Drosophila melanogaster: one gene and its partner. Changing the gene in region 2 together with the main gene of any one other region gives a genetic interaction. Each region holds a gene or a part of one and is shown on either strand. Other genes may lie near its edges.

Region 1 (7,227 bases), on a different chromosome or scaffold from region 2:
CAATTTTCAAGTCGAGCGACGTCAGCTGAAATTACTTTATAATCTTGTTGATTGCTGATTGCACTTATTGCACATTTAAAGCTCCGTCCACTAACGAATTTAAGTTCACATAAATCCTGATTGCCTGTCACTATCCACTATGAGTATCCACCCATCAAGTGGAATTGACAAGCTATTTGGGGCATTGCAATGCGTGTTAAATAATTGAATTGCTGAGTGTTCAATAAGAAAGTTGATTAATTATTCAAACGGCCCAGCATGTTTGGGTTTCCAAATTGTAAACAATCGAGTCCAGAGCTCGTTCAATTATCGGCCTGAAAATGGATTGCTCAAGTCAAAAAAAAAAATATATGCCAAGGGCGTAATAAATATAAAAATGTGCTTATGTAATATGCAAGAACATTTTGATTAACAAGCCTCTTCTCGATTGCCAACTACCAACTACCAATAATATTTGTAAGCTCTACTCTGTACACACTTTACACACAAACAAATTGCAGTTGAACAAACCACTTTCCTCAATGTAATTAAATTTTAGTTACTTTCTGTTTCTGACTGGTGCTAACTTTAAATTGCACAAGTATTTAAAGGGGTCCCTTAATCCCTCAACCCCATAACCCGCACGCTGCAACTGCTGCCAAGTGACCCAAATCAGGGTCTGTTGTCTGCTTGGAGATGCCGAATCGCGGCATCCAGCATCCATCCAGTTGGTTATCCAATCCAATCCAAGCCAAGCCAAGCCAAGCCAAACCAAACCGTTTCCAATCCCTGGCCCCGCCACTGGCTTTTCAGTCGCTTTGGAGGGGATTTTGCGCTTAGTTAGCTTAATTACGAGCGCGAGCTGAGAATCGGTTCGCTGCGGCGATAAGCATCGATTGGTAAATAAGCAGCGAATTCAAGGCTCCCGAAAGGCTTAATATCTTAATTACTTAATTATATATTTTAAATATATATATATATATACATATACCGTATATATCGTTGATTTTTTGCGCTGTGGGAGTGCTTAGTCGCAAAGTTTTTGCTAATGCTGCACTTCGTCTGACGCTGGCGCTTATGCAACCAAAATACATATTGAGCAGTACAAAGCCAGTGGAATGCCCCCAGGGATGCGGAAATGCGGAAATGCAGAGATGGATAGCTGAGGGGGGGGAGGGAGGTGGGTGAGCGTGTGGGTGGAGCATAGCCTGCATGCATGCATTCGTGTGCAGCGACTACTGGCGAAATTGAAATTCTTATGAAATTATATAAAATGCACTCAAAGGCATTTTTGGGGCAGCTTAGCAACACAAGCAACACAAGCAACACAAGCAACATGGGCAACATGAGCAAAATGTGCAACTTTGGCCACTTTGGACGACCGTCCTCCGCATGGCTTGTTTACGCAATTCCGGAAGTGAAAAAACCAAAAAAAGAAAAAGAAATAAAAGTTGAGGCAAAAAAAAGCGAATGGCAACGTGTTTCCTGTGCCATTCCGCCGCCATTTGCTGCTGCTGCTGCTGCTGCTGCAACGCAACCAAGACAGGAAGAAATCATAATTTGTCGTGTGCGATTGTCATTGAAGTAATTTACATTCCGTTTAGCCTTGGCCATAAATTGCGCAGAGGAAAATATGTGATGCCGTCATTAAAATATGAAATCTTGTTTTTCACAAAACGTGCCACTAAATGATAAACAAGCTGTTGTTTTTCATTGGGAATTACTCCATCTCATTTGTGCAATGATAAAAGCATTACATTTTCGAGTCTGCACGATCGTATCATCAGTTGTTTGCAGGACCTTGAGTTCTTCATACAAAGTTTTAGCTGCTCATTTTTAATCTGTTCCTTGTGCAGAGATTACACTTCTCCGAAAAGAGCCGACACGTAAATTGGAAAAGGGTTAGTGCAACTGTTGTTGCAATTACAATTCATCACATAGCCCGTAGTTCCTCTTCCTGCTGCACAGAAAGAAATTGGTATGTGGCGATCGTTGCAATGCCATGCAATTCAATGCCCAATTCAAAAATATTTGAAATGTGTAAACAACTCACTTGTTTTCTTTTCTGCGTGCATGTGGTGCTCCTGGCCATTTGCCATTTCGCCAGGCATAATCCCGACAATCGGTGCGATGTGGGTGATACGAGTGCGAATGCGAATGCGAATGCCAATGATATGTGTATTGTATGTATGTGCATACATATGGCGTCGTAGCGTGTGGGCGTGATGTTTGCACTCCGGTGCAGCGGGACTATAAATAAGCCGGGTATTTATTAGGGGCAATCATAAACTGCGTTAACGACGGGCACTCTGCCAACGAGAATAAGATCCGGTAAACAAAGGCACCGGTCGACGTACGTCTCATTGTGCGATAAGCTTTCAATTAAATCTGACCCGGATAACGGGGCGCATGGGTGCGGGAAATCGGAAATCGGAAACGAAAACGAAAACGGAAGCGGAAATCGAAATCGAAATGGAAAGAGATCAATTTTCAATTGCAGCCAATGCATGCATGTCCATGGGTCCAATGCTAATATCGAAAGACAAAGCTCCGTGTTCTGGAGGTCGTGTTCGCCATGCAGACTCATTGGTTGGTTGGGTTTAACTCGTACAAAGTTTGATGGGTTTGGGATTGTTTTTTTTTTTTTTTTAGAACGATATAACTCGATATAATGCTGGTGCGTAAATAACAACGATGTTCATTGTTCGCTTTGCAGCACATTTACTATGCGGTCGATGGCAAAATGACCCTCCTGTCGAACATTCTCGACTGCGGAGGCTGTATTTCCGCCCAGCGCTTCACCCGCCTGCTGCGCCAGTCCGGCTCATCAGGACCATCCCCATCTGCACCGACGGCCGGAACATTTGAATCAAAATCCATGCTGGAGCCAACATCCTCGCACAGCCTGGCGACCGGACGCGTGCCACTACTGCACGATTTCGATGCCTCGACAACGGAATCGCCGGGAACGTATGTCCTCGACGGTGTCGCCAGGGTGGCCCAATTGGCCCTGGAGCCCACCGTCATGGACGCACTGCCCGATTCGGACACGGAACAGGTTCTCGGTAATCTCAACAGCAGCGCGCCCTGGAATCTAACGCTTGCGTCGGCAGCGGCCACCAATTTCGAGAACTGCTCGGCGCTTTTTGTCAATTACACCCTACCACAAACAGGTACCTAAAGCCTAATAACTTTTAAATCATATTGCAGTATTTTTTTTTTTTTTTTTGTTGCCGGGATAGGACTCTACTGCAATTGGACCTGGGACACATTGCTCTGCTGGCCACCCACTCCGGCTGGAGTCCTTGCACGGATGAATTGTCCTGGCGGCTTTCATGGCGTAGATACGCGCAGTAAGTAACTGAAATACACTCTAAAAAAAAAGCAGCCGAAAAAGAACATGCTGAGTACAATTAGCATAATTAATCGTTGAAGCTGTTTAGCTGTTTAGCAGCCACAAGAAGCTTTATGACTTCTGCCGGCTTATTAGGAGTCAAAAGACATGTCCTACGGTGTTTATCCCATCCACACGGCATATCTGGCGGTCACAATCATACGGATCATTAGCTGGGAAACGGTTCAAGTGGTGCACGGCAAACAATTACTTGATTCCGTATTCATCGAAAGGATGTCAATATTTACATGCATGACTGGGGGCGTCCAATCAACCGCACTCCCAGTCGGGGCCGCCCCTCCTTGGCTTCCATCGCCGGGGGCTGTCCAGGTGTTTCATGTGCACCCTCGAGCTCCGCCAGTTGAACAGGGTTTAAAACACCAGCCAATCGATTGCTTAATTACGATCCTAAATGCTTGCTCTACCCCTCCGATAAATTAAACGTTCTGCAATGGGGAATTGCTATTTAATAACCATGGGCGATATACACTGAGCGAAAAGATTCTAAGTAGCTGACTTACCACCCAATATTTTACAAACTTAAAATGCTCTTCCATTATCACTAGTGAATGTATTATCTGCGCTTGTGGTGCAAAATCTAGGCATATCGAACTATATCTGTTAAGAAATAATTATTCGAGTGCATTGTTGAGCTACGGCCTCATTTCTCCGGGCCGTGTCTAGATTTTTAGCCCCAATATTTTCAACTGGACGAGGTCGGTCGCCCATTCGATTGGCATAATTGCACTTGTCAGTCAGTGTGTCAAAGCTCGATTACTGTCATTAATCCAACCCAACCTCCCTCTTTTTCGGTTCGCAGAATTCGCCATCCGAAAGTGTGAGCTGGATGGTCGATGGGGCAGCAGGCCAAATGCCACGGAGGTGAATCCGCCGGGATGGACGGACTACGGGCCGTGTTACAAGCCGGAGATTATCCGTCTCATGCAGCAGATGGGCAGCAAGGACTTCGATGTGAGTTGAATTCTTTCCACACTACATCATAATACCTGTTTCAGTTATAGTTAAGAGCATTGCTTAAATGCCAACCAAAATCCCAAATCAAGGGTATGGTTTTGAAATTACCTAATAGGGTTCCAAGTTTTTTAGACACCCTAAAAAGTGATTTCAAAGGCCTGATTACATTTGTTGATAGTGGTTTATAGTAGTAGTTTTAATTCCATTTCTTCCAACTGGTTTGCGATATCCCTTAGGCCTACATAGACATTGCCAGGAGGACTCGAACCCTGGAGATCGTGGGCCTCTGCCTCTCCCTGTTCGCCCTTATAGTTTCCCTGCTGATCTTCTGCACATTTCGCTCGCTGCGAAACAATCGCACCAAGATCCACAAGAATCTTTTCGTCGCCATGGTGCTGCAGGTGATCATTCGCCTGACCTTGTATCTCGACCAATTCCGGCGGGGAAACAAGGAGGCGGCCACCAACACGAGTCTCTCTGTCATTGAGAACACGGTAGGCTTAATATTCCCGCATAAGGATAAGGTATAAGGCTTATGTTCGATATTATATGTTATGTTCTACAGCCCTATTTGTGCGAAGCATCCTATGTACTTCTGGAGTACGCTCGTACCGCCATGTTCATGTGGATGTTCATCGAGGGCCTTTACCTGCACAACATGGTCACCGTGGCCGTTTTCCAGGGCAGCTTTCCCCTCAAGTTCTTCTCGCGACTCGGCTGGTGTGTGCCCATTCTGATGACCACCGTGTGGGCGAGATGCACGGTCATGTATATGGACACCTCGCTGGGCGAATGCTTGTGGAACTATAATCTCACGCCCTACTACTGGATCCTCGAGGGGCCACGACTAGCGGTCATACTGGTGGGTAATATCAACTGTTGATCGCTTTAATCACCTATTCACCCAACTGAAAACATCCGCATGCAGCTAAACTTCTGTTTCCTGGTGAACATTATCCGAGTGCTGGTAATGAAGCTGCGTCAATCGCAGGCCAGCGATATAGAACAGACTCGCAAGGCAGTTAGAGCGGCTATAGTCCTACTACCACTTTTGGGTATAACCAATCTCCTGCACCAGCTGGCTCCTCTGAAAACGGCCACGAACTTCGCGGTCTGGTCGTATGGCACCCACTTTCTCACCTCGTTTCAGGGATTTTTTATAGCGCTAATTTACTGCTTTCTAAATGGCGAGGTAAGACATCAAGTCACTCAGTTGTCCATTTGCCTAAAACCCTCACTATTTCCAACCAAAATATATATTTTTTAGGTTCGTGCCGTGCTACTAAAGAGTCTGGCCACCCAGCTGTCGGTGCGAGGTCATCCGGAATGGGCGCCGAAAAGGGCATCTATGTACTCGGGTGCTTATAACACGGCGCCGGATACGGATGCAGTGCAGCCTGCAGGAGATCCATCGGCCACTGGAAAGCGGTAAGCATCCGCTTTGTGCACACCCCACCTTGAAACTCCTTACATCAATTTAAAACTCCCAGAATATCACCGCCGAATAAAAGGCTGAATGGAAGAAAGCCGAGCAGTGCCAGCATTGTGATGATTCACGAGCCTCAACAGCGCCAGCGACTGATGCCCCGGCTGCAAAACAAGGCGCGGGAAAAGGGCAAGGACCGGGTGGAGAAGACGGATGCGGAAGCGGAGCCGGATCCGACCATCTCCCACATTCACAGCAAGGAGGCGGGCAGCGCGAGATCGCGAACTCGCGGCTCCAAGTGGATAATGGGCATCTGCTTCCGGGGTCAAAAGGTACTAAGAGTACCGTCAGCGTCATCCGTGCCACCCGAGTCAGTTGTATTTGAGTTGTCAGAGCAGTAGACCAAAACCTAGCCTAACTAATAGATGTAGCCATAGCCGTAGCCAAATAGCCGTAGAAGTAGCCAACGCCATGTAGCCCACCACCACAGTAGCCAGCACCCACACAATCGGACCGGAAATGATCCCAAAGATAACCCAGAACCCGACTATTCCTGCATCTCCCATCGACCCACCAAGCAAGCCAGCTGGAAACAGCACATATGTAAAATACCCCAACAAAATATCGCAGTTCTTATACCCAAGATCATTTTGAACAGAAAGTAAGCTCATTGTTTTGTAATTCAAATTAAACCAATAGACATTTAATTTAAATAGTTATTTTCGCTTGCCTTCGGTTCTTGCTCCACTGTACTTATGTAAATACATACATACCTTTATTTGTGTAAGCCATATCCAAACCCTTTCCAAAATCTAGAAATCTCCTATCCTTTCGAAATCGGCTAATCCTACGAAAATTCAAATTTCCCTACAAGTTTTACAAAATATTTTTGATGACAATAAATTTCCAATAGCGTCACCTTCTGTTCTGGACACGCAAATACATTCAAAAACACTCGCACACGGTTCTTACTCGATGAATTTTTCAGCAAAACTTCAGCGGCATGTTCTTTTACTTCTACTATTCATATTTAAATATTAGATTGAAATATTTAAGTGAATTAACACAAACTTGCGGTAACTGCGCAGTGTGGCCAGGCTTTGTGAGCCATTAGAACTTATTACATAACATAATTGAAAAGTGACATTGTTTAAAGGAACTCACCTTTAATCAACTGTTGAACTTGCTGTTCATCGGATTCCGTTATTAAGTTTTAAGATTTGGGTTTACTTGTATTTACATTTTCTTTACCACTTTGATTAGCTTACACTTTCCGTTCCTGAGCTGGTCACACTGCCAGCTACAATCGATCACGTTCACTGCAACTGCCTTGAATTTTGCTAGCTGCGCTTTGTTGTGCAACAAAAACTTTGCCACAATCGATATTTAACTAATGGGGTCCATAATCGGAGACACATAAATGCAATAAATATCTTTTCGGCTATTCTCTCCT
Region 2 (8,031 bases):
AAAATACAACAAAATTAGGAAATAAATTGTCTTAGTATCCCAATAATGTGGCATACTTTTTTACAGTGTTCTTTGAATGGATCATTTACATACACGCGTCTCGCTCGGTTTTTATTGCTTCGCACCTACATATTTGGTTTACTTTTTTCGTTATTTATTTGTTGGTAGTTGACCATCGGTCGAAATAACGACGATTTTCATTCGTCGGCGATCGCACGTCTTTGCGTGTGTGAGTGGGAAAGATATGCTTTGAATTAGTGTGTGTGTGTGAGCGGTTAAACGAGTTGTTTTCTCGTTTTACTTGTTGTATCTTCAATTGCCTCGTTGGATTGCTTTGTTTTCTCTTTTTCCCAGCCAATGGGAGACAAAGGCGGGTTTTTACGAAGATCTTGAACGATTCACCAATAAATTGAAAATGGAGATTTCTATAGTTGCATAAAAAAAATGCATTCTGGCTAATGTATATAAATACAGCAATGGAAAATTAAAATCGTAGGCAAGTGCAATTAATGTGATTTATTTTGTCTATATTTCATTTTAAATTGCCAGCCCCAATATCGAATCGTTACACTCTTTTCACCCCTTTTTTTGTTATCATTTTCGAGTGATTGCTTATCTACCCTACCCCCACTTAAAAAGAAACACACCTTGGCACATACTCCCAAAAAAAAAAAAACACATTTTCTCATATATGCATACATAACTGGATCTGCTTCCTTTTTTTATGTCATCGTTTCTTGGGTTACACAGCCGGAAAATGCACGATGTGAGGGTAAATGGGGAAAGCGGTTGGGCGGACTAATGGAATTCACACGTGTTTTGCTTTATTCGTATTGCTGCAATAAAAGTATACGTTTCAGGTATTTCGATACATCTGTGTAACATCAAAATTGGCATGCTACCTATAACTGCAAGACATGCCAATGAAATCCATTTTCAATTTCTATTTACACGAGAATTTGGAGCACAAGCCTGTAAAAAGAGTTAACAACTTTTCTTAAGAACATTGCAAATTAAGACATAAATTTTATTTACATATTATTGAGTTATCAAATTTGTATATTAGTATAAATATCATTTCAGAATGATTTTTTTTTTTTTGTATTGTTTATTGTATTCTCTTTGAAAATAAAATTAAGCAGATGGGCCTTTGAATGCATAATTCAAAAACTTTCAATAACTTTAGATATTTTCAATTGCATTTCTGAAATAAGGCGCCACCTTTTGTTTCGGGCGCCACCTGGATACCACTTTCGCCAACTCATCCGCTAGGTGGCGCAGCTCAAAAATATTTTTCGTCCATCTGGCAGCACTGGGTCTATGTAAGAACTAGTGTGCCCATATAACAAAAACAGCGTTGTCAACTTGGCTATTTCACAGCTTTCCAGTTACTCGAACTTTGAACTTATGGCTAGCTGCAAGGATATAATTTCGTTTTTCTTTTGATTTTCCAATACTCTTGCGCTATTTTCTTAATGTGGTACTTCGAAACCAACTTTGGACTATCTTAACTTAGTATATGAATCACAGTTTTTCACAATTACATATCTTCTAGACATTCGCTGAGGAGTAAATACCAGATGGTAATTTTCTTCATTATCGGCGCGGTCACACTGCGAATATCAAGATGGCGTAAATTTGTAAAAAATCGTCGAAATCTATGTGAAATAGCCAGAAAAATTGAAACGAAAGCGCAGCGTTGATGCAAAACGTAAGTGGTCAGTAGCGTTTCGGATCGACAGACCCGTTTGCGAGCGAAAAAGCGGCGGTTACCACGCGCAGGAAAACTCGAATTTCCCAACAGCATTTCAGTGCTCATTGAGAGTGCGAGTGTGTGAGTGAGTGCCCTCGTCTTTGTGTTGGTGTGAAAATGCTGAAGCAGGAGGGATAGCAACGTGCTCGCGGTAGAAACCGTGCGAGTGCGGGCGGGACGACTAGTGTGCACGAATCTATTGCCAGGGCAAACGACTCGCATAAGTTTGGTTTTTTTAATAAGAGTCCGAGTTCCGTTTGGTTTCGTTTAATTTTCTCGAGTTGATTGGCAACAAGATGCTAATCAATGTGGCCATAAAATCAGAGAAGAACAGCATAACCGACTCGAAGATAAACGATAAAAATAACTGAAATATGGCAGCAATGCAGTATTATTAAAATTATTGCATAAAATGCGCTTGCGTGTGGCCCCAAAAAGTGCGACTGTGTGCGTGTGTTTGTGTGCGACTGTGGCAACTACAACAAAAACAACGTCTGGGCTCTAAAACAAAGAAAATGAAAATTATTGTGGCAGAATCAATCCAATTAAAAAATTCGATTTCGATTTCAGTCGAATTAGAAGAAGGAAAAGCAGCGTCGCCAGCAGAGGAAGTGGGCAAAGCGGAATAGGAAACAAGGAATATAAGAAAAACAAGCCACGGTAAGTGCGGAATTTGTTCCACTGTGCGTTCAAGTTTCCCTTCTCCACCCGCTATCGGCTGCTCCTTATCAGCCCCGTTATTCGCAGTGCATTCGTGGAGTGCCGTTAGTTTTCGGAGGCCATTAGCGTTTGACAATTAATTGCAAGTTTCCTTCCCCTTCTGAGGTTTCCCCGTTGGTTTTGCTCTGGTTTTTGGTTTTTCCATTTGCTCTTCCCTGTTTACTTAAGCTTTTTACTTTTGTGGCGCCTGCTGGAACAACTGTTTTTTGTATCTTCTTTGTTCTCCAGTGCGTTTTTTTGCGGAAGCTTTTCGGCAGCCGCCAACGCAACGTGCAGCTGTTTTGCAATTGTAATCAATTCGTGTTTACCCGCTGGTCCGAAACAACTGCTGGATACCCTGGGAAATATTTAGTTACCAATAGGAAAGACCGCGTTTTCCCTGCTAGCCTTCCAGTAAACAAATTAAAGCTCCTAAAATTAATACCACATTTCAATTTGACTTACAGTGCTTATACAGTGATTTCTTTCTGTGTAGAACATGGGAGATACAAATAAAAAACGGTACATTTCGGTTAAATAAATCAAAGCCAAGGCGAAAACAACAACAAACACAGGCAGGTTTTGAGGTTAGAACCGCAGAGTGAGTGATAAAGAGTCGGGAAAAGGAGGAGAGAGAGAGAGAGAGAAAGAGAGAGAGCGATCGAAATGCGTGAGCGGTAAAAGAAAGCGCACAGAATGTGGGAAAGAGGAGTGGGAAGGGGTTAGTGAGTGAGAGCCGCCGAAAACAATTAAACTAAATTTTTGTGATATTTGACCGGCAAGTGAAAACTTTCGGCTTGTTGCTTCGTTTTCTGACTTCCATGCGCTTTATCTTCGCTATTTGTTTGTGCTTTCCACCACTGAAAGTGTCATTTAAGTGGCATTTTCACAGTCGCTGCGTTTTATTTTACTTCTCTCCCTTTTGTCGCCGATTGTTTACTCCACGCATACACAAACACACGTCTCTTTTATCTATTTGTTGTTAATCTCTTCGTTGTCTTTTCCTGATTGCTGATTCACCTCCATGTTTCTGGTGTCGTCACGTAAAAAATACACTTGAAAAAAAGAATTATATCTATTCAAGGATGTAAAAGCACTACGGCACATTTGCTTTATTTTATAATAGTACAATATAATATTAAAATGACTAAAACAATAATGTGACGAATGTCAAAAAGTAGTGCTATTTTGCTCTGTGCATATAAATTATCGTTACTCATCACTTATTAAATCTGTTGTTTTCCCCATTCGTAATCAATACACACAGCCGAATGCAATGACGCACTCACTCTTAAATATAAATATACGAGATAAACTTTTACTTTGTGCGAGGTTCGGGTTCTTATCATTTTTGCCCACTGTGCATTTGCATTTCGAATTGCTTTTGGTACGCTTTTCTCTGCTATTTTTGTGTTGTCAACGTAAGCCAAGCTTACTTCTCTCCCGCTCTCTCTCTCTTGTTTTATTCTTAGCTAACGGTTTTCTATTTTCGATATCGATTGTTGCCGTGCGTTGTTTTCATGTCTGTGTGCCACAATCCTTATCACCACAAACAAAAGCGAATTCTGCACGTTTTTCGGGCTTACGCTGCAGATGCGATAAAAACAGGGGATTACTCTCTATATATAAGTGATCGCGAGACGGGTCGAATTTCGATTAACCATGTTGAGGATCTAAAAAAAAATTAACTTAGTACCTCCTATTACAGAACCCTTCGAATACAAAGCCATAAGCGACTGCCTTGAACAAATCGGAACAAGAAGAAGAAAGGAGCTCAGACGAAAGGACAGTGCCAGGTGAGAAAAGTGGAGAAGTGTTGGAAAATACTCACGAAGCTCCGTTAGCTCTCAAAATTAGACTTTTAGCAAACTGTACAAAACAGCAGGGTTGTCATCACGTGTCACAATATAGTGTCAGAAGAATCAAAAGTTGTAGCAAACAAAATCCGACGAATATTTTATCACTATCGCTAACAAGGCGTTCGATATTGTGTTGTTGCTTGCAAATAATCTCTTCTAATAATATCACACATTGTTGCTAGTGGTCAATAGCCGAATTTTCGAAGTCACTTGATTCATATTTACTCGTAAAAACCTGTGACGCCGCTGCTATTTCTATGATTAGTCAAAGCAACTAAGAATACTACGAATATTTACATTCTGATCGAATTCAACAATTTGCCTGCATCGTAGCAACCTTTCAATATCCTTTCGCGATTACAAAGTAAAAGTTTTAGTCCTTGGCGTAGATATTTAAATCTGTATAATATTTTAAGCGCAGCTAATCTGAACTGGGATCGATCAATTCGTGTAGCGTGTAGTATTATGAGTAAGAAAAGCGTACAGCCTTCTTTTCGAGGCAATGTGTTGTAAAATTAAAACTAAATTTCAATTCTCCGGTCCCGCAGAAAGGCAACGCAAATCCGAGGAACCCGAGGAGTCCGAACTCTACCACACAGAAACCCACAGAAACAGACGTAACAAAATGGAGCTGCGCGTGGGTAACAAATATCGCCTGGGCCGCAAGATAGGATCGGGATCGTTCGGCGACATCTACCTGGGCACCACGATCAACACTGGCGAGGAGGTGGCCATCAAGCTGGAGTGCATCCGCACCAAACACCCCCAGCTGCACATCGAGTCAAAGTTCTACAAGACGATGCAGGGTGGCATAGGCATACCCCGCATAATCTGGTGCGGCAGCGAGGGCGACTACAATGTGATGGTGATGGAGCTACTCGGACCCTCGCTGGAGGACCTCTTCAACTTTTGTTCACGCCGCTTTTCGTTGAAGACGGTTCTGCTGCTGGCGGACCAGATGATCTCCCGCATCGATTACATACACTCGCGGGACTTCATCCATCGCGACATCAAGCCGGATAACTTCCTCATGGGTCTTGGCAAAAAGGGCAACCTGGTGTACATCATTGACTTTGGCCTGGCCAAGAAATTCCGCGATGCCCGGTCGCTGAAGCACATTCCCTATCGGGAAAACAAGAACCTCACGGGCACTGCCCGCTATGCCTCCATCAACACACATTTGGGCATTGAGCAATCGCGTCGTGACGACCTGGAGTCCCTGGGCTACGTCCTAATGTACTTCAATCTGGGCGCCTTGCCCTGGCAGGGCTTAAAGGCAGCCAACAAGAGGCAAAAGTACGAGAGGATCTCGGAGAAGAAGCTGTCCACCTCGATTGTGGTGCTGTGCAAGGGCTTCCCCAGCGAGTTCGTCAACTATCTGAACTTCTGTCGCCAGATGCATTTCGACCAGCGTCCCGATTACTGCCACCTGCGCAAACTCTTCCGCAACTTGTTCCACCGTTTGGGCTTCACTTACGACTATGTGTTTGACTGGAACCTGCTTAAGTTTGGCGGACCTCGCAATCCCCAGGCGATTCAGCAGGCGCAGGACGGAGCGGACGGCCAGGCGGGTCATGATGCGGTGGCCGCAGCAGCGGCGGTGGCAGCAGCGGCAGCCGCCTCCTCGCATCAACAACAGCAGCACAAGGTCAATGCGGCGCTGGGTGGCGGAGGAGGCAGTGCAGCGCAACAGCAACTCCAGGGCGGCCAAACGCTGGCGATGCTGGGCGGCAATGGAGGCGGTAACGGCAGCCAACTGATCGGCGGCAACGGACTCAACATGGACGACTCGATGGCGGCCACCAACTCGTCGAGACCGCCGTACGACACGCCGGAGCGTCGGCCTTCGATACGGATGCGGCAGGGAGGCGGTGGTGGCGGCGGTGGAGTGGGCGTAGGCGGTATGCCGAGCGGCGGAGGGGGCGGTGGCGTGGGGAACGCCAAATAATATTTTATCGTTTAGGTTGCGACGCTGGACACGACACAGTAGACAAACAACAACAGAACTCAACAAACTATACATGTAGTATATATAGTTATATATACCTAATATATATAATACTTGCTTTATATATGCGGTAAAACACGTTGAATGTATCCAAGCGGCAGGATGACCAGGTCCCTGCCAGAAACGGAGGACAAGAGCAGTGAGAGAAGAAGAGCAGAGCATAGCAAAGCGCAGCGCTTTTCTTTTTTTGTGTGTACATTTTCGTTTGTTTTTTGACATTTTGGTTTCTGCTCCCAGATGTTAGAACGTTGAGCGCGCTTATTATTAATTAACTAGCCTATGATTAATTTAATTTATACTATTAGAACATAAACGATTGCAACCTGGCTGCAAGAAACTGCAACAAACCGCACTGTTCAATTGATTTGAGATCCCTGCCTGAAGATTGGCCAATAGATCGGCGGTTGATTAGGGGTCCGCGGAAGGGTTTGGGAGGAGGGTTAGCAGGACACGCAGGCATTTAATTCTGTTTTGCATTTGACTATTTGCTCTTGGCCGGCTCAACTTTTTCTTTGTTAACTTGAAGTCCCAGACCAAATCAGGCAGAACATGCAGAACCGATCATGAACACATAATAACTCGATTGTAAGTGTAATATTTGTGTAAAAGAAACAAAGGACACCGCGTTCAGCGAGTGTCCCTAACCCTAGACTATAGGCTCTAGCTCTAGCGAATCCAATCCATACAAAAGCATATGCCACACAGCAAGGCACCCACATTGTAACCTAAGTTGATGGTAAAATGATTGCGATTACCACGTGCAGTTCTCTAGCTTTAAGCAACGCTCTGACTTATAAGGCCCTCCTATGTTATATTATGTAACCTTCTGTACCGCCTACTCCCCTATCTATATATATATATTTATATATATATATATATATATATATATATATATATATATATATATATATATATATATATATATATACTTTCGTGGTCTGCACTTTGCTGCCTGTGTTCATATATATCTTTCCGATTTTTAAACACTTAAGCGCGCATTTCCCGAGCGGTGGGCAAATGGGATGCGAGATGTGGGAGCTGGGAGTTGGGGCAGCCCTTTGTTTACGCAACAAAATCATGTAACTAAGATAGAGAGCATATAAATTGCGTTAGACATACACAACAAAACAATTGCATTAACGTTTCGATTTAACAATGTAAGTAATGGCCCTGCGGAGGAAAGTTACACAACGCTAGCTAATAAACTATAGCTATAATATGAAATTTGTTTATAAGTAATACCAAACCGTAAAATAAAAAAGGAAAATGCAAAAAAAAAACTTAAATTCTAAATGCGCCAAGAGATAATGAATGGGTAAAAATATGAATATACATTAATATAAACTATATCTTATGAGAACACGTAAACATGTAAACCCCACAGCGATCGGCTGGCTAAGAACTAACAAATCAAAGAAATGCAAAACACAAATCGGATCACTGAACGCAGAAGCCACTAAAACTTAAATAAAAGTACATTACGTGATATTTCTTACAAATTGTTTTGTTTTCTAATCGGTTTGTTTCAGTCATTTTACTTTTATTTTTCGAACACAACTCCATTCGAAGCGCACGCCTTGCAAACGACCAACCTTGTAAACACGACCATATAGCGCATTCAGATTAGGGGATCCGCGACCGTGGAGAAGCCCCAATCCTCCTCCCCAAACCGAGAATTGAGAACCTAGTGATGAGTGTACATAAGAATAATA

Evidence for each region.
Region 1: of dco (region 2) and Pdfr, changing one suppresses a phenotype caused by changing the other (phenotypic suppression), as found in Drosophila melanogaster (one study listed by BioGRID).

What each region holds. Positions count from the first base shown.
Region 1 is NC_004354.4:2,570,279-2,577,505, forward strand, and holds Pdfr (Pigment-dispersing factor receptor), read left to right. Parts: upstream 1-1,927; 5' UTR 1,928-2,388; coding exon 2,389-2,568; intron 2,569-2,695; coding exon 2,696-3,152; intron 3,153-3,221; coding exon 3,222-3,332; intron 3,333-4,193; coding exon 4,194-4,345; intron 4,346-4,584; coding exon 4,585-4,842; intron 4,843-4,913; coding exon 4,914-5,210; intron 5,211-5,276; coding exon 5,277-5,540; intron 5,541-5,615; coding exon 5,616-5,776; intron 5,777-5,838; coding exon 5,839-6,175; 3' UTR 6,176-6,727; downstream 6,728-7,227. UniProt on the Drosophila melanogaster protein: Receptor for PDF, a neuropeptide controlling circadian behavioral rhythms. Probably regulates circadian behavioral rhythms through coordination of activities of clock neurons. PDF-binding results in the elevation of cAMP synthesis.
Region 2 is NT_033777.3:31,054,757-31,062,787, reverse strand, and holds the start of dco (discs overgrown), read left to right. Parts: upstream 1-1,577; 5' UTR 1,578-1,711; exon of another isoform or gene 1,712-2,323; 5' UTR 2,324-2,413; intron 2,414-4,145; exon of another isoform or gene 4,146-4,160; 5' UTR 4,161-4,248; intron 4,249-4,859; 5' UTR 4,860-4,936; coding exon 4,937-6,259; 3' UTR 6,260-8,031. UniProt on the Drosophila melanogaster protein: Serine/threonine-protein kinase which is involved in the circadian rhythm pathway, viability and planar cell polarity.